2 linked regions of the Macaca mulatta genome follow. The protein of the gene in region 2 purifies or fractionates together with the protein of the main gene of each other region. This does not show direct contact. Links are inferred from orthologs where the notes say so. Each region holds a gene or a part of one and is shown on either strand. Other genes may lie near its edges.

What was found.
Region 1: the proteins of RPL8 (region 2) and NCL purify together in Homo sapiens (affinity purification with mass spectrometry; 3 studies listed by BioGRID and IntAct, with this or other methods). This does not show direct contact. The link is inferred for Macaca mulatta from reciprocal best matches to the Homo sapiens genes RPL8 and NCL.

What each region holds. Positions count from the first base shown.
Region 1 is NC_133417.1:136,717,465-136,728,429, forward strand, and holds the start of NCL (nucleolin), read right to left. Parts: upstream 5,535-10,965; 5' UTR 5,394-5,534; coding exon 5,376-5,393; exon of another isoform or gene 5,183-5,375; intron 4,520-5,182; coding exon 4,403-4,519; intron 3,212-4,402; coding exon 2,731-3,211; intron 2,064-2,730; coding exon 1,866-2,063; intron 1,770-1,865; coding exon 1,683-1,769; intron 1,646-1,682; exon of another isoform or gene 1,576-1,645; intron 1,497-1,575; coding exon 1,355-1,496; intron 299-1,354; coding exon 174-298; intron 1-173. UniProt on the Homo sapiens protein: Nucleolin is the major nucleolar protein of growing eukaryotic cells. It is found associated with intranucleolar chromatin and pre-ribosomal particles. It induces chromatin decondensation by binding to histone H1.
Region 2 is NC_133413.1:155,211,509-155,222,516, reverse strand, and holds RPL8 (large ribosomal subunit protein uL2), read left to right. Parts: upstream 1-3,602; 5' UTR 3,603-3,697; intron 3,698-3,801; 5' UTR 3,802-3,812; coding exon 3,813-3,950; intron 3,951-4,032; coding exon 4,033-4,174; intron 4,175-4,458; coding exon 4,459-4,677; intron 4,678-5,462; coding exon 5,463-5,578; intron 5,579-5,791; coding exon 5,792-5,950; 3' UTR 5,951-5,985; downstream 5,986-11,008. Other genes in the region: uncharacterized protein LOC144330927, read left to right, coding at 2,878-3,317. UniProt on the Homo sapiens protein: Component of the large ribosomal subunit. The ribosome is a large ribonucleoprotein complex responsible for the synthesis of proteins in the cell.

The sequences.
Region 1 (10,965 bases), on a different chromosome or scaffold from region 2:
AAGCAGTGCCAAGTACTCTTGTAAACACCAGCTCATTTAATTCCCACATTAAGAGGAAACCAAGGGGAAAAAAAAATTTAAAGAGAGGAAACCAAGGGAAATGGGTTACAAAGCATTTTCCCTAGCAGTCTAGCTCCTGAATTTATTGCATAATCTCCTAAAGCCTTACATACCCTTCTTACTGTCTTTTCCTTTTGGTTTCTCTAGTTTAATTTCATTGCCAAAGACTTTCAAACCAGTGAGTTCCAAGGCTTTCTCCAGGTCTTCAGCAGATTCAAAATCCACATAACCAAATTTCCTTCAAGGTGGAGAGAAGGGCAAAATTACAACAGATGAAAACACAAACTGAAATCCACAATATGTATTCTAGACAAATGTGATGATGCAAACAAAGATCACATTTTAAAAAGCACCCCTAATATTAGCAAAACAAAGTCAAGGCTCTGCAAATTGTAGCTACAGAATAAGGTCTCAGTACGGAGATATGATGTGCACATTCACGTTTGAGGTCATCATCATTAGCTAAATTGCTTATAACAATTCACAGTAGCAGCTGACAAAAGAACACCTGTAAGCACTAATACAGGAGAATCCTGCCTGGATAAAAGCATTCACTATGATGACTAGTCAGGTCTAATAGTTTCAGGTACTTCCAAGAAAATAAACATCAAATTATTATTATTTTAAACTGAGACAGAGTCTCGATCTGTTGCCCAGGCGGAGTACAGTGGTGCGAACTTGGCTCACTGCAACCTCCGTCACCCAGGTTCAAGCGATTCTCCTGCCTAACACCAACACTGGTGCCTCAAGACCCCAATTTAGGCTGGGCACAGTGGCTCACGCCTGTAATCCCAGCACTTCGAGAGGCCAAGCTGGGTGGATCACTTGAGGTCAGGAGTTCGAAACCAGCCTGGCCAACATGGTGAAACCCTGTCTCAACTAAAAATACAAACATTCGCCAGGCGTGGTGACGTGCACCTGTAATCCCAGCTACTCAGGGGGCTTAGGAAGGAGAATCATTTGAACCCGGGAGGCAGAGGTTGCAGTGAGCCAAGATTGCGCCACTGTACTGCAGCCTGAGCGAAAGCCAGAGTCCGTCTCAATAAAAAACAAAACAAAACAAAAAAGACAAAAAAACTTACTAAGATTATTCTGTGCTATACCAAGTTACAACTGACTGGAAATTGCAATCCAGGGACTCTATAGTTTAATTGTAACTTAGTTCACTAATGCTAATCCTTGAAAATGTTTACACTATTCATGTTTAGGAGTGGCAGGCTAAAGTAACTGTGCTAATAAGGGAAGGAAAAGTATTAACAGACCCATGTGTATGTAATGTGCATGAAGCACTTACCTAGTCATACCAATTCTGACATCCACAACAGCAAGATCATTTTTAGCAAAAACATCGCTGATACCAGTTTTTAACTCAGGAGCAGATTTGTTAAAGTTTAGGTTTCCAACAAAGAGATTGAAAGCCGTAGTCGGTTCTGTGCCTATACAAAAAAAGCTGAACTCAGTCTACTTGTGAAGTGTGGTAAAAAGTTAGTTTCCAAAGCAAAATTTCTATACACAGCACATCAGCACACTGCAATGTAACATCATGTTTCAGTATTAAGTCCCTTTGTCATTCATCATTTGTGCTGTTTATCTCCCCCACATCCCCTAATTCTGCAAGTTACCTTCCACTTTCTGTTTCTTGGCTTCAGGAGCTGCTTTCTGTTTGGCCATTTCCTTCTTTCGTTTTCCAGGTGCTTCTTTGACAGGCTCTGGACAAGATGTCAATGTATTACCCATCAATAGCCACAAACACTTAAGTGCCTCCTTTAAACAACTCATGTCAATGTATGTCAGAATCTAATTACCTTCCTCCTCCTCTTCTTCCTCCTCATCTTCATCATCATCATCTTCATCCTCATCATCTTCATCGTCGTCATCATCCTCGTCCTCATCATCCTCTTCTTCATCTTCATCCTCAGCCACGTTCTTGGCTTTCACAGGAACAACTTTTGCAGCTTTCTTTCCTTTGGCTGGTGTAGTCTCCATAGCTTCTTCTTCAGAGTCTGAAAGATAAGCCACCTAAAAATTGCAGCAATCTCCCAAAACCAACATCGGTTTTAAAATCTAATGCAATCCTGTCACCATGTTTAGTTAATAGTCATGGCAAGAAGAGATTACTTGGGGCCAGGAACAGTGGCTCACGCCTGTAATCCTAGCACTTTGGGAGGCCAAGGTGGGTGGATCACCTGAGGTCAAGAGTTCGAGACCAGCCTGGCCAACATGGTGAAACCTCGTTTCTACTAAAAATACAAAAATTAGTAGGGCATAGTGGTGGTCGCCTGTAATCACAGCTACTTGGGAGGCTGAGGCAGAACTGCTTGAACCCTGGAGATGGAGGTTGCAGTGAGCTGAGATAGCGCGCCACTGCACTCCAGCCTAGGAAACAGCAAAAACTCCCATGTCAAAAAAATTAAAAAACAAAAACAAAACAAAAAAGATCACTAAGAAACAAAATCCTACATTATGAAAAACACTCACAGAATGTGCTGTTGAAATTTTCTCAGGAGGGACAAAAATCATTCATGGGTAATTAAGTCTAACACACAACAGCCCAGAGAATTCCCACAAGGACTCTACTCTCATCTCCAGGTTGTTGTGGAATATGTTGATCCCAGAATCTCAAGATATCTTGCAATCAGAAGCCCAGTAACTACCAAGACAACTCCTTACCATCTTCCTCATCGTCATCATCCTCATCCTCATCATCTTCATCATCCTCATCATCCTCATCCTCTGAGGCAGGGGCAGCAGCTGCTGCTTTCATCACTGCTGGTTCAATTTCATCTTCATCCTCATCTTCGTCCTCATCATCCTCATCATCTTCCTCACTGTCATCCTCCTCCTCTTCATCACTGTCTTCCTTCTTGGCATTCTTACCATTCTTTGCCCCCTTGGCTGGGATGGCAGCACCCTTCTTACCAGGGGTTGCTACCAATGCTTTGCCTGGTGTGGCTCCCTTCTTGCCAGGTGTGGCAACTGCTTTGGCTGGTGTAACTGTCTTCTTGGCAGGTGTTGCTGCTGCCTTTTTGCCTGGAGTGACAGCTGCTTTCTTGGCTGGTGTGGCAACTGCAACCTTTTTTGTTGGGGAAACTACCACCTTCTTTGCTGAGGTTGCAGCAGCCTTCTTGCCTTTCTTCTGAGGTATGACAACCTTGAGAATAAATGAAAACCAAACCAGTAAGTCCAGCCCCACACCCAAAAAGATAACCATGGTCCCAGTGAGTGTTAGATTCTGCCAATGCTTCTGGTTCAAGACCACATGCGCTAGACACATGTTAGCATGTTAAACTCCAGGCTTCTGTTATGTTGTCTTAGGTCAGAGCCCTTATTATCAGGTGAATACCCAGCCATAAGGAACCCTTTTGAACACTTAAAATACCTCTGAACCAGACCTCTGAATTCTTGCACCTCATATTTTCCCAAACCCCAACTTTCTCATCTGAAAATGGTAATAGTATCATATTACACGTATAACAATAATGAAGTGCTATGCGTAAATTATTCAGAACCTTACACCTAGGAGGCTCCAAGCATTAACGTATTAAATCATTTGGGGCTCCTATGGTGGATGGCAGTACTGAGTCCAGTGAAGCTCAATTCTTGGGACCTGAGATAAAATGAAGATCAAATAGGCTAAACCTAACTATCCCTTACAAAACTATCACACATCAAAGAGTGAGCATGTTAGTTTGATAAAAGCCATCGTTTAGCTACATGAAAATCCCATAGTTTTATTAGGCAATGTGTGGAAGAATAAAACTTTTATTCAATTCTCAACGAAAAACCTGAGCACAATTCAGTGCTCAGATGTCTTTACAGTGAGCAAATAAAAGGCCAAGACTGCCAAAGAGTAAAGAGGGTCAATGTTAACACAAAGAGGTGGCAGCCCTCAGTCTACACCAAAGATAACTATAACGCAGTGAGTAGAATTACAAAGTTTATATATAATGGAATGGAGACCAATTAATCTTAATTGGAGGCTAGGAAAGGAATCTGGGAAGGTTATCCTCAGATCTGAATACAATGCCCAGCTCTACATGTCGGGGTGAGGCTAACATGTTGAAACTGGAAAAATTTAATGATTTAACACAACAAATCACACTCCTTGCCCTGCAGAGGCACATGGAAAGGAGATCCCCAGACCTCTTGTCTCAAACTCACATTCAAATACTTAGCCAAATGACACCTTGACATGTCAGTGAAGAGCTTGTGAAACCACCACTACAATAGGACATACCTGGATGAATAAAATCTTATTTTAGCCACAGACATCCAATTTCATGTCTTAACTCTCCATTGTTGTAGTTTTAACACAATTCTGCATTAAGCTAGATAAAATTACCTCTTCTCCACTGCTATCATCTTCTTCATCTTCTGACATTTCTTCATCTTCACTATCTTCTTCTACCTCCTTTGGAGGAGGAGCCATTTTCTTGGGGTCACCTTGATTTTTACCTGCCTAAAATGGACACAAGTAGGTCATTACACCTCCACCTCAACATTTCAGGCCATTCATATTTTGCCATTACTGTTCATAGTAAAACGCCATCATCTCTCCTTTCTCAGATCCATTTCTCATAGTGCCAAACAGCACAACATCAAAACGAGTCCTGATGGCAATGCAAGATGGACTACTCTCAACCGCCCACAATTTTCCTCCCGGGCTTCACAAACAGAAAACCCGCCCGAAGGTAAGAAGTAACTACCTTGGTTTTCTCATGAACATTATGCTTTTCCCAGCAAGACAACCCCGCCCCTTAAAGAGGCGGCGCGGCCACGTGGGGGTACCTGGTAGGCCACCACGTGCCCGAAACACGGCGCAAAAGGCACGCGGCAGAGCCACCTTCCGGGGCCCACCACGTGTCGGCTTGCCAGGCCAGGACTCCGACTAGGGCCGATACCGCCATTTCCTGGCGCAAGGCACCGGTGCCTCTGGAGATTCCAGGACCTACGCGGCGCGGCCCACGTGGCAGGCCGCGCTCCCGGGCACGTGCGTCAGGAGTCGGGTCCCGACTCGTATGCGTCGCAGGAGTTTGGTCTCATCTCCCCACCCCGGGGCCCAGCGCCCCCTCCCCGCGCTCAGTGACTCCGTCTTTCCCGCCGCGTTCGCCGCCCCCAGCACCTGCAGAAGCTCTTCACCTCGCCACCAACTAGCCAGAAGCCGCGAGACCTCCCCACTAATCGCGCGAGACTTCCCGCAGCATGGCGCCCTAGAACGCGCCCGGGACTGCGCGCAGGCCCTCCTCCCCGCGCCGCCGCGCTCGCCCCTCGGAGAGCAGGCCTAGACGTCTGCGCTCGCGCTCAAGGCCGTTTACCTTCGCGAGCTTCACCATGATGGCGGCTTATGGCGGCGGAGTGTGGAGCGGAGAAGTGGCGCAGATGAGTCCAGAGGAAGGCAAGCGACGGCGATGGCGGCCGCGGGTGCTGAAGATCCCGGAGCACGTACACTCGAAGGCCAGCGAGAGCTCGAGACTGAGGCGAAAGACTGAGCCTGCCCAGTAATCGCCTGTGGAAAGGCGACGACGGCGCCCTCGTGACTCCGTGCCGACCAACCAGAGCTCGCGGCAGTCCCCCTGAGCCAATCGCGAGCCTCTAACCGAGAACGGCGCGGGGCGGGGAGTGGGCGGGCCGAGGCGGCCACGGGAGGGGGAGGGGCTGGCAGCCGTGCCGTCGGGGCGGGGCTCGCTTTGTGCAAGGCCGGCGCTGATTGGGCCGTGGGCGCGCGGGTCCCGGCCTGCGCCGTGGGACTGGCGTTTTTGGCGCCGGCTGTGAGGGGACTTCGGGGGTGGTGGAATCGGGCGGTCTAGGGATCTCCAATGTGGCTGGCTCCCTAGGCTCGGGCAGCCTTGGAGTTCCTCAAAGACCCCGCGCGCGGCCCCGGCACGCACTCACGCCGGCGCTCCCGGTGGCCCTGGAGAAAGAAGCCCGCCAGCCCCGGAAGTTCAGGGACCGCGGAGTTCCCGTTGGCCCTTTCGGAGGCACAGCTCAGCCCTGCTTGCCCGCGAGCATGGGACTGGAGACACCCCCGGCTGCAGGCAGTCTTCTGAGAGCCGTTAAAGGCAGTCGCGGGTCTGTGCGAGGTTTTTCTGTGAGAAATGCACGAACCTCCCCTACCCCACAGAACCTCAGGCGGGAGATATTTCTCGTCATGGGGAACGGCCTCGGAGAAGTAACTTTCTGGCCTCACAGGGCAAGGAGAGGGGCCTGGGCGGGCCGACCGCAAAGCCGGGCCTTTGACCGCCCACAGGTTCCCTGGTTGTTATTTGCGTCGAATGCGCCAATTAAGGTGGTGGCTGCTAAGTCAGTGTCACCAGATGGCTCGGGAGCAGGTCGAGAGCCACCGGCAGGGTTCCCCGGCGGCAGGGCGAAGGAGGCCGGAGTGACTTCCACGGTTAGCTTTGAGGGTGGGCCTCCCTCGATGCCGGGCTTAGCAAACCAGAGCATTTCCCTCCGTCCAGGGCCTGCCTGGGATCCATCCAATCCATGGGTCCAGGTATGGATCCATCCATACCTCATTGTTCCTACAGAACCAGGATACCTGCAGCTACGGCGGTACTTGTTAAAAATCACCTCAGGCGGGGCGCGGTGGCTCAGGCCCGCAGTCCCAGCACTTTGGGAGACCGAGGCGCATGAACCGGGGAGTCGGGGATTGCAGTGAGCCGACATCGCGCCACTGCACTCCAGCCTGGGCGACAGAGCGAGACTCCGTCTCAGAAAGAAAGAAAAGTGTTTGTTAAGGCCAGGCGCGATGGCTTATGCCTGTAATCCCAGTACTTTGGGAGGCTGATGCAGGAGGATCGCTTGAGTCCAGGAACTTGAGACTGGCCTGGGTAATATAATGCGACCCTGTCTCTACAAAAAAAATAATAATTAGCGGGTGTAGTGGCACTCGCCTGGAGCCCCCGGCTACTCGGGAGGCTGAGGTGGGAGGATCGCTTGAGCCCAGGAGGCGGAGGTTGCAGTGAACCGAGATGGCGCCATTGCACTCCAGCCTGGGCAACAAGAGCAAAACCCCATCTCAAAAAAAAAAAGAAAGAAATGAAAATTATTTGTTAAATGAGGAAGTATTTAGGTAGAAGCAGCAGCAGGGAGAGCTGGCATGGCTCAAGTGGCGTTGCTTTGGAGTTAGTCTGGGGCAGCAAAATAGCAATATCTAACACTTTATAATGCTGATTCAGTGCCAGGCGCTCTTCATATATTCATTCACTTACTCTTCAAAATAACCTTTCCAAAAAGTTATCACTGTTTTATAGAAACTGGGGCATAGAGGTAAATTAACTTGGCCAGGGTCACATAGCTAGCAGTGGAGGTGTAGGATATAAGTGAAGACACTGCTGTGTCATCCCAGTTTCTTTTCTTTTTTTTTTTTTTTGAGACAGAATCTTACTCTGTCACTCAGGCTAGAGGGCAGTGGCAGGATCATGGCTCACTGCAGCCTTGACATCCCCAGTTTTATCAATCCTCCCGCCTCAGCCTCTCAAAGCACTGGGATTATAGATGTGAGCCACGTCTGGCCTGTTTGTTTTTTTTTTTTTTTTTTTTTGAGACGGAGTCTGGCTCTGTCGCCCAGGCTGGAGTGCAGTGGCTGGATCTCAGCTCACTGCAAGCTCCGCCTCCCGGGTTTGCGCCATTCTCCTGCCTCAGCCTCCCGAGTAGCTGGGACTACAGGCGCCCGCCGCCTCGCCTGGCTAGTTTTTTGTATTTTTTAGTAGAGACGGGGTTTCTCCGTGTTAGCCAGGATGGTCTCGATCTCCTGACCTCGTGATCCGCCCGTCTCGGCCTCCCAAAGTGCTGGGATTACAGGCTTGAGCCACCGCACCCGGCCTGGCCTGTTTGTTTCTAAATGCTTTTTTGTTTTGTTTTGTTTTGAAAACACGAGTTATTTATTGAATTGTAAAGTACACACATAGTGCAAAATTCAAAAGATTCAAACAGATGCACAGTAAAAAGTCTCCCTCCCCTCCCTGTCCCCTAGGCCTCCCAGTCTCAAGGCAGTGCCAGTCTCTTGTATGTCCTTCCAGATTCAGTTGTATGTGCAAATAGACAAGTCTATTTATTATATTTAATACAAACGCTATCATATACACTGTTCTGAACTCTCCTTATTTTGTGTTAACTATATGTGTCTTGTAACTCATCCTACATCAGCACATGTAGAGCTGCCTCATTCTTTTTAATAGCTACATGGCGTTCCTTGTGTGGAAGGATCACAATTTATCTAGTCACCATTGCTGGACATTTAGGGTTGTTTGCTATGTTTGGCCATTACAAACTGCTATAGCAAATATCCTCACTTGCTTTATTTTACACAAATCATATCTGTAGAACAGCTGGGTCAAGGGTATGGTCTTTTACATTTTCATAGATGTTCTCCCAAGTGCTGTCTTTGGTTGGGGTTTTCCATGGCGGTTCCAGCCAAGAGCGATACCACCTCCTCCAGCCAGCTCAGGTTATCTGTTGCCCCTGAGCTCCAAGGCTGGGAGACAGTGCTCCACGTTTTAGCAGAGGAGGAACTAGATGGTGGGGAGAGGTTTGAGCATGGCTGTAATTCTTGTGGGGAGTGTGACTAGTCTCACATACCAACCCAGATGCTCCAGGGGTACCACTGCCTTGAGTGGCTACTGGCTGCTTCTTCAGGCCTGCATGGACCCAGCCCAACTCTGCCTGCTGCTGTGGCCTGGCTGCTCCCCACGATACCTGTGTAGTGAGGCACCCACTTGGGGCACCCATGGGTACTTCTGGCCCCTGAGACCCATTTGGCCATAGTGGGCCTCATACTTGTGCTAGAGTCTGACAGCCCACTGGAGGGGGTCTGCAGGCTTCCAAGGATTACCTCCACTTCCCAGGACTGGGCTTCTAGGAACTAAGTGTCTCGGTTAGGCTCCAGCTAGCCAAGAAGAATCACATTGGGTATTTTAAAAAGGGGGAGCTTAGCGCAGGGACGTGGTGACATGAGGGATAGAAGTGCTGAGAAGTTGAGGGTACTGAGCAGGAAGCGGCTGCCCTCTACTCCAGGCTCTTCCACTGAAGGCTATAAGGGCCCGGGCTGATGCCAGGGAAGCTTCAGAAGGTCAGGAGGTGGGGTCATCCTGTGTCTCCCCTGCTTCTCCCCCTGAGTTGCAGGTGAGGCTGGCCTGACCCAGCCAGCATCCAGCTCACAAAGCCTGCAGGGTGAGTCCCTGCCATGGAGGCCGAGCAGGGCAGGGCTGGACACCCCAGCTGGCCGGGAGGGAGTTCACAGCCTCAGCTTCCAGAGCTTCAGGTCTGCCTGAGTGCGGAGGCCTGGGGTGTCTGCTGTGAAGTTCCTTTTACCAGCCCAGCCTCCTTCTGTCTTTTGGGTTCGCTGAGGCCTTTGGATACTGCCCAGAACTTCCCCAGCACTTTCCCCCAGATGTCAAAGGGGGAACCTAAGTTCTTCCTCCCTTGCCAGGCCTTGCTTGGTGTGTTAGCAAGTCTTCCCCTGCAGGAGGTACCTGTGCCTTGGGGTCCCAGGGGCCAGAGCCAGAGAACCCAATCTTGTCTTCCTGAGGCAACCCGAGAAGCTTCACCTGTTCACCCACTGGTAGAGTCAGCCCCTCGCCAACAACCGCAGGCCCCTGAGTCCGCTGGAGGAGGCTGTTATGGCCCCAGATCATCACCATTCCAACTTCCCTGCTGCACCTACCAGGCCTCTCCATCCAGGAGGTTGGGCCCTGCTGGAGAGAAATCTGTGATGATGCAGATTTGGGGCCTCCAGATGCCCGGCCCTCCCAGCAGCCGCCCTGGTAGCAGCCCCAGCTGCTAGCCCAGATCATCTTCCAGGAGCTCCTGACCGCTCTCATTTCCCTCTCCCCAGCCTCTATGCCAAGCCTCTTCCCTCAGGCACTTCATCTCTCCTTCTCTGCCCTCCCTGTCAACAGAGTTACCCTATCTTCTCCTTCACAGGGAAGGACAGACCTCCCAGAGGGATTCCCACCCTCTGATTTACATACATTCGCAGACAGCCTGAGCTCTCCTGGCCACCACAAGGCCCCAAGGAAACCAGAGTCTTTCTCTGTATCACCCTTTCCCATGTGCCAGCAAACCCCTCCTCACCCCCTCCTGGGGGTCCCACTGCAGCGATCTCCTCAACTGCCACCCGCCTTTTTTTTGTTGTTGTGTATTGGGGTGTGTGTGTGTGTGTGTGTGTGTGTGTGTGTGTGTGTGTATGTGTGTGTGTTTAGACTCACTCTGTTGCCCAGGCTGGAGTGCAGTGGTGTTAACACAGGCTCAAGTGATCCTCCCATCTCAGCCACCCAAGTAGCTAAGACTACAGGCATTTGCTGCCACGCCCAGCTACTTTTTGTATTTTTTGTTTATTTGTTTGTTTTTGAGACAGAGTCTCACGCTGTCGCCCAGGCTGGAGTGTAGTGGCATGATCTCGGCTCACTGCAACCTCCGTCTCCTGGGTTCAAGCGATTCTCCTGCCTCAGCCTCCCGAGTAGCTGGGACTACAGGTGTGCCACCATGCCTCACTAATTTTTTTTTTTTTTTTTTGAGACGGAGTCTTGCTCTGTTGCCCAGGCTGGAGTGCAGTGGCCGGATCTCGGCTCACTGCAAGCTCCGCCTCTCCGGTTTACACCATTCTCCTGCCTCAGCCTCCTGAGTAGCTGGGACTACAGGCGCCCGCCACCTCGCCTGGCTAGTTTTTTGTATTTTTTAGTAGAGACGGGGTTTCACCGTGTTAGTCAGATAGTCTCAATCTCCTGACCTTGTGATCTCCTGTCTCGGCTTCCCAAAGTGCTGGGATTACAGGTGTGAGCCACCACGCCTGGCCTGCCACCTGCCATTCCAATACCTCCTTCCCTTCCATTGCCTTTTGTAGGAACAAGCTCCTGGGAACAGTTGACAACAGTTGCTCCCAGCTCCACCAGGGACCCCCAAGAT
Region 2 (11,008 bases):
TCTATGTAAATCCTGTGCTATTCTCTCATTGTAAAAGGATGCCAAAACTTCCAACTATTTAATCACACATGTGGGGTCCTAGAGAATGTTCACTCACAGCTTTATGTCAGGTTGACATGATGCATCCAAGCCATATAGACGGCAGGGGTCATGGAGATTTAGCACTCACTAACCCGTTGCTTCACAATACACTACCTTAACCCCTCTCGGAAAAATTTTAACCTGCACCTTCAAGATGTCCCCAAGCATGTGCAATCTCCATCCTCCCAACCACCCCACCTCTTCCTGTTGGCATTGGTCCCTGGGGTCTCCCCTCACCCACTCCTGAATGGGTAACGGGCTCCTATGGGCAATCCCACCCCTGAGGCACTGAAAGCACATGGGAAAACTATCTCAGAGAACCTTATTGGAAATACGTTTTCACAAGACATAGCTCCAGAATTGTAAGACACTAAATTAGAAAAGCAGTGTGCATAAGGCCGGGTGCGGTGGCTTATGCCTGTAATCCCAGCACTTTGGGAGGCCAAGATGGGTGAATCATGAGATCAGGAGTTCAAGACCAGCCTGGCCAAGATGGTGAAACCCCATCTCTACTAAAAATACAAAAAATTAGCTGGACACGGTGGCAGGTGCCTGTAATCTCAGCTACTTGGGAGGCTGAGGCAGGAAAATCGCTTGAACTCAAAGAGGGCAGAGGTTGCAGTGAGCTGAGATAGCGCCACTGCACTTCAGCCTGAGTGACAGAGTGAGACGCCCTCTCAGAAAAAAAGCAGTGTGCATGAAAAGTACTTAGATCAGTCCCTGGCCCGTAAAAAGTACCCTGTATTGGCCAGGTGTGGTGGCTCACGCCTGTAATCCCAGCACTTTGGGAGACCAAGGCAGGTGCATCACCTAAGGTCAGGAGTTCAAGACCAGCCTGACCAATATGGTGAAACCCCATCTCTACTAAAAAAATACAAAAATCAGCTGGGCGTGGTGGTGTGCACCTATAGTCCCAGCTATTCGGGAGGCTGAGACAGAAGAATTGCTTGAACCTGGGAGGCGGAGGTTGCAGAGAGCCCAGATCACACCATTGCACTCCAGCCTGGGCAACAAGAGTGAGACTCCATCTCAAAAAAAAGAAAAAAAAAAATATATATATATATATATATATATATATATTCCTTTTATTACGGAGTGATCCCATTTTAGCCATATGTGATGGTGTGCCCATATGTGGGATACAATTATGCTACGGGGGTGCGGTGGGGGGGCAGGGAGATAAGGACACATCTGTTGTGGGGGATTGGGGGTGCAGGCAGATAATCCTGGTGGGGGAGAGGAGCCAAGCTGAGCAAGACAGAGCATCACAATTTCTCATGTTTATACCTAATTACTCCTGCATGTATGTGACAAGAAACATTTGAAGAACAATTTCAAAAGGAAAATGTTTTTTTTTTTGAGGCGGAGTTTTGCTCTTGTTTCCCAAGCTGGAGTGCAATGGCACAATCTCGGCTCACCACAACCTCCACCTCCTGGGTTGAAGTGATTCTCCTGCCTCAGTCTCCTGAGTAGCTGGGATTACAGGTGCCTGCCACCATGCCCAGCTAACTTTTGTATTTTTAGTATAGACGGGGTTTCTCCATGTTGATCAGGCTGGTCTCGAACTCCTGACCTCAGGTGATCCTCCCGCCTCGGTCTCCCAAGGTGCTGGGATTACAGGCATGAGCCACCACACCTGGCTGGAAATAAATAATTTCTAAGAATAAAGTTTGAAAAGCAGGTTAGGGGTGACGTCGGTAGCACAAGCAGAGGTGCTGTGTGGGGAGAGCCTAATCCTGGCCCCAAGAAAGATGGCTCCACCCCAGAAGGCTGGAAAACCTCATGTCCAGTGCTTGCGGCCTCACCTGGAGTGGCTGTCAAGTGACCTAGAACTGCACAGCCACTGCTGTGTGCCAGGTCAAGACTGAGCCTAGTCATGTAGTCCTCAGGACTGTCGGGTGGATGCTGGCAGGGCCATGTCTCTTCGAGCATTAAAGCGGCCTGGTCAGCCTCCTGGCTGCACCTAGGATCTTGGTAGCCGCATCTCATCCCAGAGACCCGTGAGACCATCTTGGGGAACCCCACAGCCTGTGTGTCCAAGCACTCTTCTCACCTCTATCCCGCACCCAACTCTCCTTCTGCTCCTGCAGAGAAGCAGATTTGCTCAGGAGTGAGGGACACGCTGGGCCTGTGGGCCAATTTTGGGTTGATCCCAGAACTCCTCACCCTGCCCCTGGGGTCCAGTCCTGCCCCTCAGCCCCTGGCCCTGCTGTGGGCTGGGCTGCTTCCTGGGTCCCCACCCGGCAGCTCCTCCTCGATCCCCCTGCCAACCCTAGGGGAGGGCCTCCTTCAGCAGCCCCTTCTCTCCCCTATGAGCAGCAGCGGCCACAGGACACCCCTTCCACCCTCTCCTGTCTCTTTCTCACGATGTCAACCTTTCTCTTTCTCACGATGCCAGAGCCCCTACAGGGTCTAGGAAATACCCCACCTCCCAGTCCTGACTGCAAGCCTCTCCCACCCACTGGGACCCCTGCCTTCACCTCCTTGCTGCCTCCTCATCCACGGCTTCGCCTGTGCTCCGACAGTGCTCACTCAGCCAGGGGCTCTCTCCTGAAAAACCTCTTCCCCACCACCCGCCGCCCCCAGCCTCGGGGTCCCACCCCTTAGGGACCCGATTTCGCGAAGCCCCTCTCCCCAGCATGTGCCGCTGGACACCCCCAGTCGGGCTGACTCTTTCCAGCTCAGGCCCCCACTGCCCCTCCCAGTTTCCATTTCTTGCTCCTTCCCCACCCACCTCTCCCGCACAGAATTTGGTCAGGGTACGGTCCAGTCTCCTATTATTCGTTCTCCCCGCAGCATGTGACCCAGCCCATCCCCGCTCCTTCTTCCTCGCCCCGGGACCCTCCAGCTTGGCCCTCCCCACTTCCTGGGCCGGCCGGCCCTCACCCTCGGCAAGGATCCCCGGGCTCCTCTCCTCGACGCCCGACCTCTCCAAGGGCCTACAGTGGACAAGGTCCCCGCGTCCAGCAGCGCCCGTCCATCAGGGAGACGGTCATCTGCCACCTGCAAACCACGACGTTCCACGAGGGGGTACAAGCGTCTCCCCTGCCCATCTCCTGCTCTGCATCAGCGAGAACCCCTCCGCCTACACGGAAGCCCCTCACCAGGCAAAGCCGGGAGCCCCAGACCCCGTGGCCCGGAGTGGGTCGATCTGTGACGCCCTGCACAGTTCACTCAACCACTCGGCGCCTCCTCGACCACTCAGAGAACACTTGCCCTCCCGGAGACCCCGGTGAAAGCCGAGCACTCTTTCGCTCCTTCAGAGCCGGCGCCAGCAGGACCTCGCGCGCCGCGTCTCCCGGTGCGCCTGCGCGGGGGCCCCAGCGGCGGAAAAGTAGGCAGGGCCGGCGGCCACTGGTGACTACAAGCCCCGGCGTGCACCGCGCTGGACTGGCCGTGGCGCGCCCGGAAGGTGTCGCGGCCCTGGGCCCCGCCCCGGAAGATAAGGCGGCTCGCGCACACCGCGTTTCCTCTTTCGGCCGCGCTAGTGAGCTGGTAGGTCGTGCATGCGGCGCTGCGGCATGGGCAGTATCCGCCGCCATCCTCCTCCTTGAGGCGCGCTGAGACGCGGGCCGGCCCTCCTGAGAGGATGGCGGTGCGGACGCCCGCGGAGAGGGTAGGGGGTGGTGCGCGCGGCGGCCTTGGAGGCGGGGTCCCGGAAAGCCGGGCTGGCGGGGGTGCCCGGGCCGCCCGGACGCGCTAACCGTGAGTCGCCCCCAGGACCCATCGCCATGGGCCGTGTGATCCGTGGACAGAGGAAGGGCGCCGGGTCTGTGTTTCGCGCGCACGTGAAGCACCGTAAGGGCGCTGCGCGCCTGCGCGCCGTGGATTTCGCCGAGCGGCACGGCTACATCAAGGGCATCGTGAAGGTGCGGAACGCTGGCCAGGGCGGGGCGGGAGGGGACGGGACTCCCGGCCGGAACGCCGCACTTACGCCGCCCCTGCCCGCAGGACATCATCCACGACCCGGGCCGCGGCGCGCCGCTCGCCAAGGTGGTCTTCCGGGATCCGTACCGGTTTAAGAAGCGGACGGAGCTGTTCATTGCCGCCGAGGGCATTCACACGGGACAGTTTGTGTATTGCGGCAAGAAGGGTTAGCATCGCGGCGGGGAAGGAAGGTCGGGGTGGGGAGAGGTCTGGGTGTTGTCTGAGGAGTTAACGTCTTAAACCGGTGTGGGAACCTCGCAGGCAGAAAGTTGGGGTGGGCCACCGCGTGGCCAGGCCAGTGGCTACGGTGGGCACCGGTGGGTACTCAGAGAGCTGCACCGGGAGGCTGGATGTTGAATGCTGTGCTCGCAACTTCACGGGCTGCTTAGAGCGAGTGGGGTCGCATTACCTCTTACCGCGCTGACGGCCTGATGCTGCTTCCCCTTGCAGCCCAGCTCAACATTGGTAATGTGCTCCCTGTGGGCACCATGCCTGAGGGTACGATCGTGTGCTGCCTGGAGGAGAAGCCTGGAGACCGTGGCAAGCTGGCCCGGGCATCAGGGAACTATGCCACCGTTATCTCCCACAACCCTGAGACCAAGAAGACCCGTGTGAAGCTGCCCTCCGGCTCCAAGAAGGTTATCTCCTCAGCTAACAGAGCTGTGGTTGGTGAGTACCAGGCAGTAGTTGAATGCTGAGGGCTGTTGGGTGAACAGGCTGTGAGCGCCGGCGGACAGCCAGTGGCTAGACTTGGTTCCTGGAATTACCTGTTGTTTCAAAATTTGGGTTTTGTAAGTTTGAGGTTATTGTGTAGTCTCAGTTTTCGTCACTGTAAAATGAACACAATAGTACTTGCCTTACTGCTATTGTGGCGTTAAATGAGATTAGGATTAAGTCACTTGGGACTTGAATTCTAGTCTGGGCTTCCTGATTGCTGTACTTGGTTAACAGCCTTTTCAGATAAGGCAGGGAGAGATTTGTGACTTTCTCAAAATCACCTACTGAGTGAGTGAAGGAGGATTTGAGTCTCGGTTAACTCGCTGTGCTGTTGGGAACATCTTGGAATCCTTGTTACAAACTCAGCCTCGCACAGGGGAGGCCCTGAGGTTGTATTCCTGGAATAAGCAACGCTGAGATGGGGCAGGCTGAATCAAGTGTCCTGTGTCAGGTTGAGTGACATGTCGGATGTCTCAAACATGGTGAGGGGGTTGCTTCCCTGCGCTTGGAGCTCAGCCAGCATTCTGGGTGATGGAGGTGAGGGCCTTGGCTTGACTGCCCAGTGTGGATTGAAGAAACTACAGGGTGCAAGGGGCTCTCTAGGGTGGAGGCGAGTGGGCTTTTTGCTGGGTAGTTGGATGTAGTATTGTGAAGGTGCATGACAGGAGATTGAGGGGAGGAGGTGGGGGTGCTCTGACCGACTAGAGGTTCCCTGAGGTACCTGATCTCCCTTACAGGTGTGGTGGCTGGAGGTGGCCGAATTGACAAACCCATCTTGAAGGCTGGCCGGGCCTACCACAAATATAAGGCAAAGAGGAACTGCTGGCCACGAGTACGGGGTGTGGCCATGAATGTAAGTAACGCAGAAATGCAGGATTGGGTATTCAAGGTACCATGGCCACACGAGTAGGCAAGTCCCATCCACAGGTGGCCCTGCAGGAGGGACATCTGCAGTGGGAGGAGCAGTGGGTGGTGGTTTGTAGTCACAGGACTGTTGATCTTGCTCCAACCCTCCTGAAGGAGGTGGGCTCACCCGCATTCTAAAGCCATCTTCCTCTGCCTACAGCCTGTGGAGCATCCTTTCGGAGGTGGCAACCACCAGCACATCGGCAAGCCCTCTACCATCCGCAGAGATGCCCCTGCTGGCCGCAAAGTGGGTCTCATTGCTGCCCGCCGGACTGGACGTCTCCGGGGAACCAAGACTGTGCAGGAGAAAGAGAACTAGTGCTGAGAGCCTCAATAAAGTTTGTCTTTATGCCACCAGGCTGTGCCCACCCCCATAGTTTCAAAGGGAGGGGTCCCTGCTGGGAGGATTTCTGTGGGATCCCCCTCGTTGGTACTGGGAGGAAGGTAGACTACTGGAGTAGACCACCAATGAGTGGTGGAAGCTTGAAGGAAAAGTCTCCAACTAGAAGTGAGGTGCAGGTACCCTGGGCAAGACCCTTGCTTCCCCACAGAGGGGACCAAGACCCTTAGGTGGGTGACTCAGTACCATGGCTTGCAGTGCTTGGATGTAAGCACTCATTTCACGTATAACGAAACTGAGGAACAGGAAACAGGACACAATCATGAGCCTGGTGTTCTGGACCATACCCTCACTCTGCCGGCTCACTGCTAACTTGCTCAGCACCTGAGGCGTTCCTTTGCCCACGGTCTTATGGCTACATCGTTCCCCTCCATACTGGGTACAGTCCTGCTGATGTCAGTGTGTTTTTGTAAAGTCACTGCCAGGGATACCGGGCTTGCAGGTGTCTTGCACTGAGAACTTGGGATGGGCCTGGAGGAACGTGGGACAGACACCCTGTCTACAGCCAGGAAGTTATTCCTAGCCTGGCCTTTACCATTCTGTTCTGCAGATGACTGGGAGCACCCTGTATGCATTCCCACCCTACCATGGTGGAGAGTAGTCACTGACTGGAGGGTTCTGGGTGCTTTTTCCTGTGGGTGGAGCCTCATGCCTTACCTCATTTTCTAGCCTGATAGTGACAGGTGAGGTTGAGGTGGTGATTGAGTGTGGGGTCCTAGGTCACTGCTGGTATTGCTGAACAAAGGGATGAATGTATGCAGTGCGTGTATGGGGATCCCAGAGCACTCAAGAGTCCCTTCACCCATCCACCCAGAGCCCATACACTGCAGAGAAACTAACCAGGAACAGCCCCCAAAGCTGCATTGATTACCTTATTCTGAGCACATGGCCTTTCCCTACTGGCAGGGGCAGATACCTTCCTTCTTTTTAGCTTTGGTAGTGACAAGTGAGGCTGAGGGTGGTGATTGTGAGTGGAATCAGGTTGGAAGTGTCAGGGAACTGCCCCTCTGCAATGGGAGGGCAAGTAAGCTAATTGCCGTCACAAGGCAGGTGGAGGGGCTTCCTGTTTGGCCATAGCCCATGGTATCTTGTCCCTTAACCACAATGAGGAGATCCCAGGACAGCATCCTATCAGCGCTTTCACACAAGGAAGTTCCACCAGCAAATGGAGCAGCTGCAGATTATTGCCCCTAACAACACTCCTGTGGAACTACAGCAGGCAGAATGAGGCACGGTGTGCTCTGCCTATAGACTTGGAGAGCACCTGGCAGGTGAGAATAGGTCACGTTAGGCTTCCATGGTCACTCCGGGATGACAATTCCTAAGTGGCTGCACGGTGGCCCCTGACTGTCATGGTCCACACTGTTTCTAGAGTGAACCTTACACCCCATTTCATGATCTTGCTTTCCTCATCCTGCTGGCATGGCTGCACCTGTCTTTGGGCGCCCACCACACCTAGGCAGTGACCCAGCAGGGCCTGTTTATTTTAGACAGGCTCTCGCTATTGCCAGGCTGTTCTCAAGCCCCTGGCCTCATGTGGTCCTCCCACTCCAGCCCTGACCCCCATCCCCCGCCAGTAGCTAGGGGACCTGGTTTAGATACACTGTCATTCGCAAGGCTGGTCCCAGGGTCCTAGGTGATTGGTCGAGAAAGAATCCAGGAGGGCGGTGTTTCCTCCTGAAGGATGGAGGGGCATCTAGAAAGAGGGTCTTGGGAAAGCACTAGATGCTTAGCTTCGCCATGAGCGGTCACTGCTTTTCTGCTCCCTTCTGGGCAAAGTGGATGCAGGGCTTGGCCGAAGGACCGGCCGTCAGGGAAAGTTTGCTCCAGAAGCAGCTCAGGCACCCGAAAACCTTTTCTCCAGAGTGGACACTGGGCTCCATTTACAGGAGTCAGGGATGAGGGGCCATGGGTTAAACCCAAGACAGGCTTCTTGGGCCAGTAAGCATCCTCTCTTAGCCCCAAGGAAGGGTGCGGTTCCCGTTTCTTTCTCTGTAAAGGAAAGGACCTAGTTCTTTCTAGTTTGTGGCACCTTTCGTGGCTCATTAGGGAGATAATTTATCAGAAAAAGGGAAAGACTAATATGTTTTCGACTCTGACCATCGCCCCAGTTCTGAGGCCTCCGGGCCGTGGCTTCGGACTGCCACCCGGTGGCAGCGTTCTGCTTTACGGCTTTGCCATTCGCGGGTCCCCGGAGCCTTACTGCGAGCCAGGGAGGTGGGCAGCCGAGACGCGGCATCCCAGCTTCCCAGAGCGGCCCCGACGGCACCGCGGACCCGGACAGTTGGCTGACGTCATTTCCGGATCGGCTCCGATTGGCGGGGCGGGAGGGCCGAACGGGCGAGGTTGGGTGGCGGTGCTGCTCCGCGGCGCTGAGGTGAGTGTGAGCCCGGCGGGGGCGGGCGCGCGGGGCGCAGACCCTTCCCTGCGCGCTGCGCCCGTACCCGGTTGTCTTGCGGTGCTCCGGGCCTGGGTCCGTCCCGCCATCAGCGGCACTGCCTGTTCCAGGGACCCGGGACGAGGCCTTGAGTACGGACGCGCCTCGCCGCCCTCTCCCAGCCCCAGGGTCGCTCCTCATGGGGCTCCTTCCGCCCTCGAGCCCCTCACAGCTCCCTTGCCCCACCTGGGGCCCCCTGGACTCCTGCCGCACAGGGCGGCTTCTGCGTCCCGATGCGCTCCAGACCCCGAGGTCCCAGCGGCCCGAGGCCTCATCCCGGCTCCCTCCCACGCCCCTCTCCTGTCAGCTTTTCAGGGGCGGGGTCGTGCGTCTCTCGGTCCTCCCAGCCCTCTGCGGATGCCGCCCCTCCTGCATTTAGCGTCCGCGCTCCTCCATGCTGCTCCCTCTGCTGGTGCCTTCCCTCCACCCCACCCTCCTCGCTTCTAGCGCTCCGAGGCTTTTCTTCCCGCAGCCAGGTTTTTGTTCCCCTTTTTCTTTTTTCTTTCTTTTCCTTCTTTTCTTTCTTTCCTTTCTCTCTCTTCTTTTTTCTGAGACGGAGCCTCGCTCTGTCGCCCAGGCTGGAGTGCAATGGCGCGATCTCGGCTCAATGCAACCTCCGTCTCCCGGGTTCAAGCGATTCTCCTGTCTCAGCCTCCAGAGTAGCTGGGATTACAGGCGCTCGCCACCACGCCCGGCTAATTTTTGTGTTTTTAGTAGAGATGGGGTTTAACCATGTTGGCCAGGCTGGTCTCGAACTCCTGACTTCAAGTGATCCGCCGGCCCCAGCCTCCCAAAGTGCTGGGATTACAGGCGTGAGCCACTAAGCCCAGTCTCGTTTTCTTGTATCTCTACATACCTAATAGTGTTTTTGTCTCTTAAAAATCTACATATGTATGTCCGAGTGCGGTGGCTCATGCCTGCAGGGAGGCGGGCAGATCACGAGGTCCGGAGATCGAGACCATCCTGGCTAACGGTGAAACCCCGTCTCTACTAAAAAATACAAAAAAATTAACCGGGCGTGGTGGCGGGCGCCTGTAGTCCCAGCTACTCGGGAGGCTGAGGCAGGAGAATGGCGTGAACTGGAGAGGCAGAGCTTGCAGTGAGCCGAGATCGCGCCACTGCACTCCAGCCCGGGCGATGGAGCGAGACTCCGTCTCAAAAAAAAAAAAAATCTACGTATGTATTATACTGTGGATATTCTATAGCTGACAGTTTTTCTCAGCCTTATAACTGCTCTATATCCTTGACATTAGTTTTCACCACTGTGACTTTGCCGATAGACGCTGAAGTTTTTTCTTCTACACAGGCACATGGTAACATTCTTGTGTTTTTCTTGTGTGCCTTAGCAAGTCTCCATAGAGTACATACTTTTTTTTTTTTTTTTTTTTTGAGACGGAGTCTGGCTCTGTGGCCCAGGCTGGAGTGCAGTGAGAGTACATACTTTGAGTTAGGTTTCCCCACAGAGAGTTTTGCAGGGTTTCAGTTCTACCAAGTAGGGCCAGGTATATTTCTAGAGTCACTGTACCAGTTTACGGTGTCCTCAACATTTGATTTTATGAAGTATTTTATATTTTCTCAATCTATGGGGAGAGTCTGGTTTTACTTTACTTTTTTTTTTTTTAAATTAAAAAATTAGAGATGGGGGTTCTCACTATGTTGCCCAGGCTGGAGTGCAGTGGCCACTCATAGGCGTGATCCCACTACTGATCAGCACGGGAGTTTTGACCTGCCCTGTTTCCCACCTGAGCTGGTTCACCCCTCCTTAGGCAACATGGTGGTCCCCTGCTCTCCGATGTCACCATATTGATGCCGAACCTAGTGGGGACACCCAGTTGGCATAGCACACTGTAGCCCAGAACTCCCAGGTTCAGGTGATCCTCCTGCCTCAGCCTGCTGAGTAGCCCCTGGGACTACAGGGTTTGCCAGGTCCTATCCTGTGTTCATTTGTTCAAAATTATGACATTTTTCTTATTAAAAAAATTTTTAGGCCAGGCGCGGTGGCTCAAGCCTGTAATCCCAGCACTTTGGGAGGCCGAGACGGGCGGATCACGAGGTCAGGAGATCGAGACCATCCTGGCTAACACGGTGAAACCCCGTCTCTACTAAAAAATACAAAAAACTAGCCGGGTGAGGTGGCGGGTGCCTGTAGTCCCAGTTACTCGGGAGGCTGAGGCAGGAGAATGGTCTTAACCCGGGAGGCGGAGCTTGCAGTGAGCTGAGATCCGGCCACTGCACCCCAGCCTGGGCGACAGAGCAAGACTCTGTCTCAAAAAAAAAAAAAAAAATATATATATATATATATATATTTTTTTAAATATGTTCTGTATATTTATGCTTTGTTACATGTTTGGAAATATCTTTCATTCTCTAGCTTGTCTGCTTGACTTTTAATTTTGTGGTGTGTTGTACAGAATCCTTTTTCTTTTTTTTTTTTTTGAGGCAGGGTCTTGCTGGGGCTGGAGTGTAGTGACATAATCTTGGCTCACTGCAGCCTCCATCTCTCACTCTAAAGCGATCCTTCTACCTCAGCCACCTGAGGT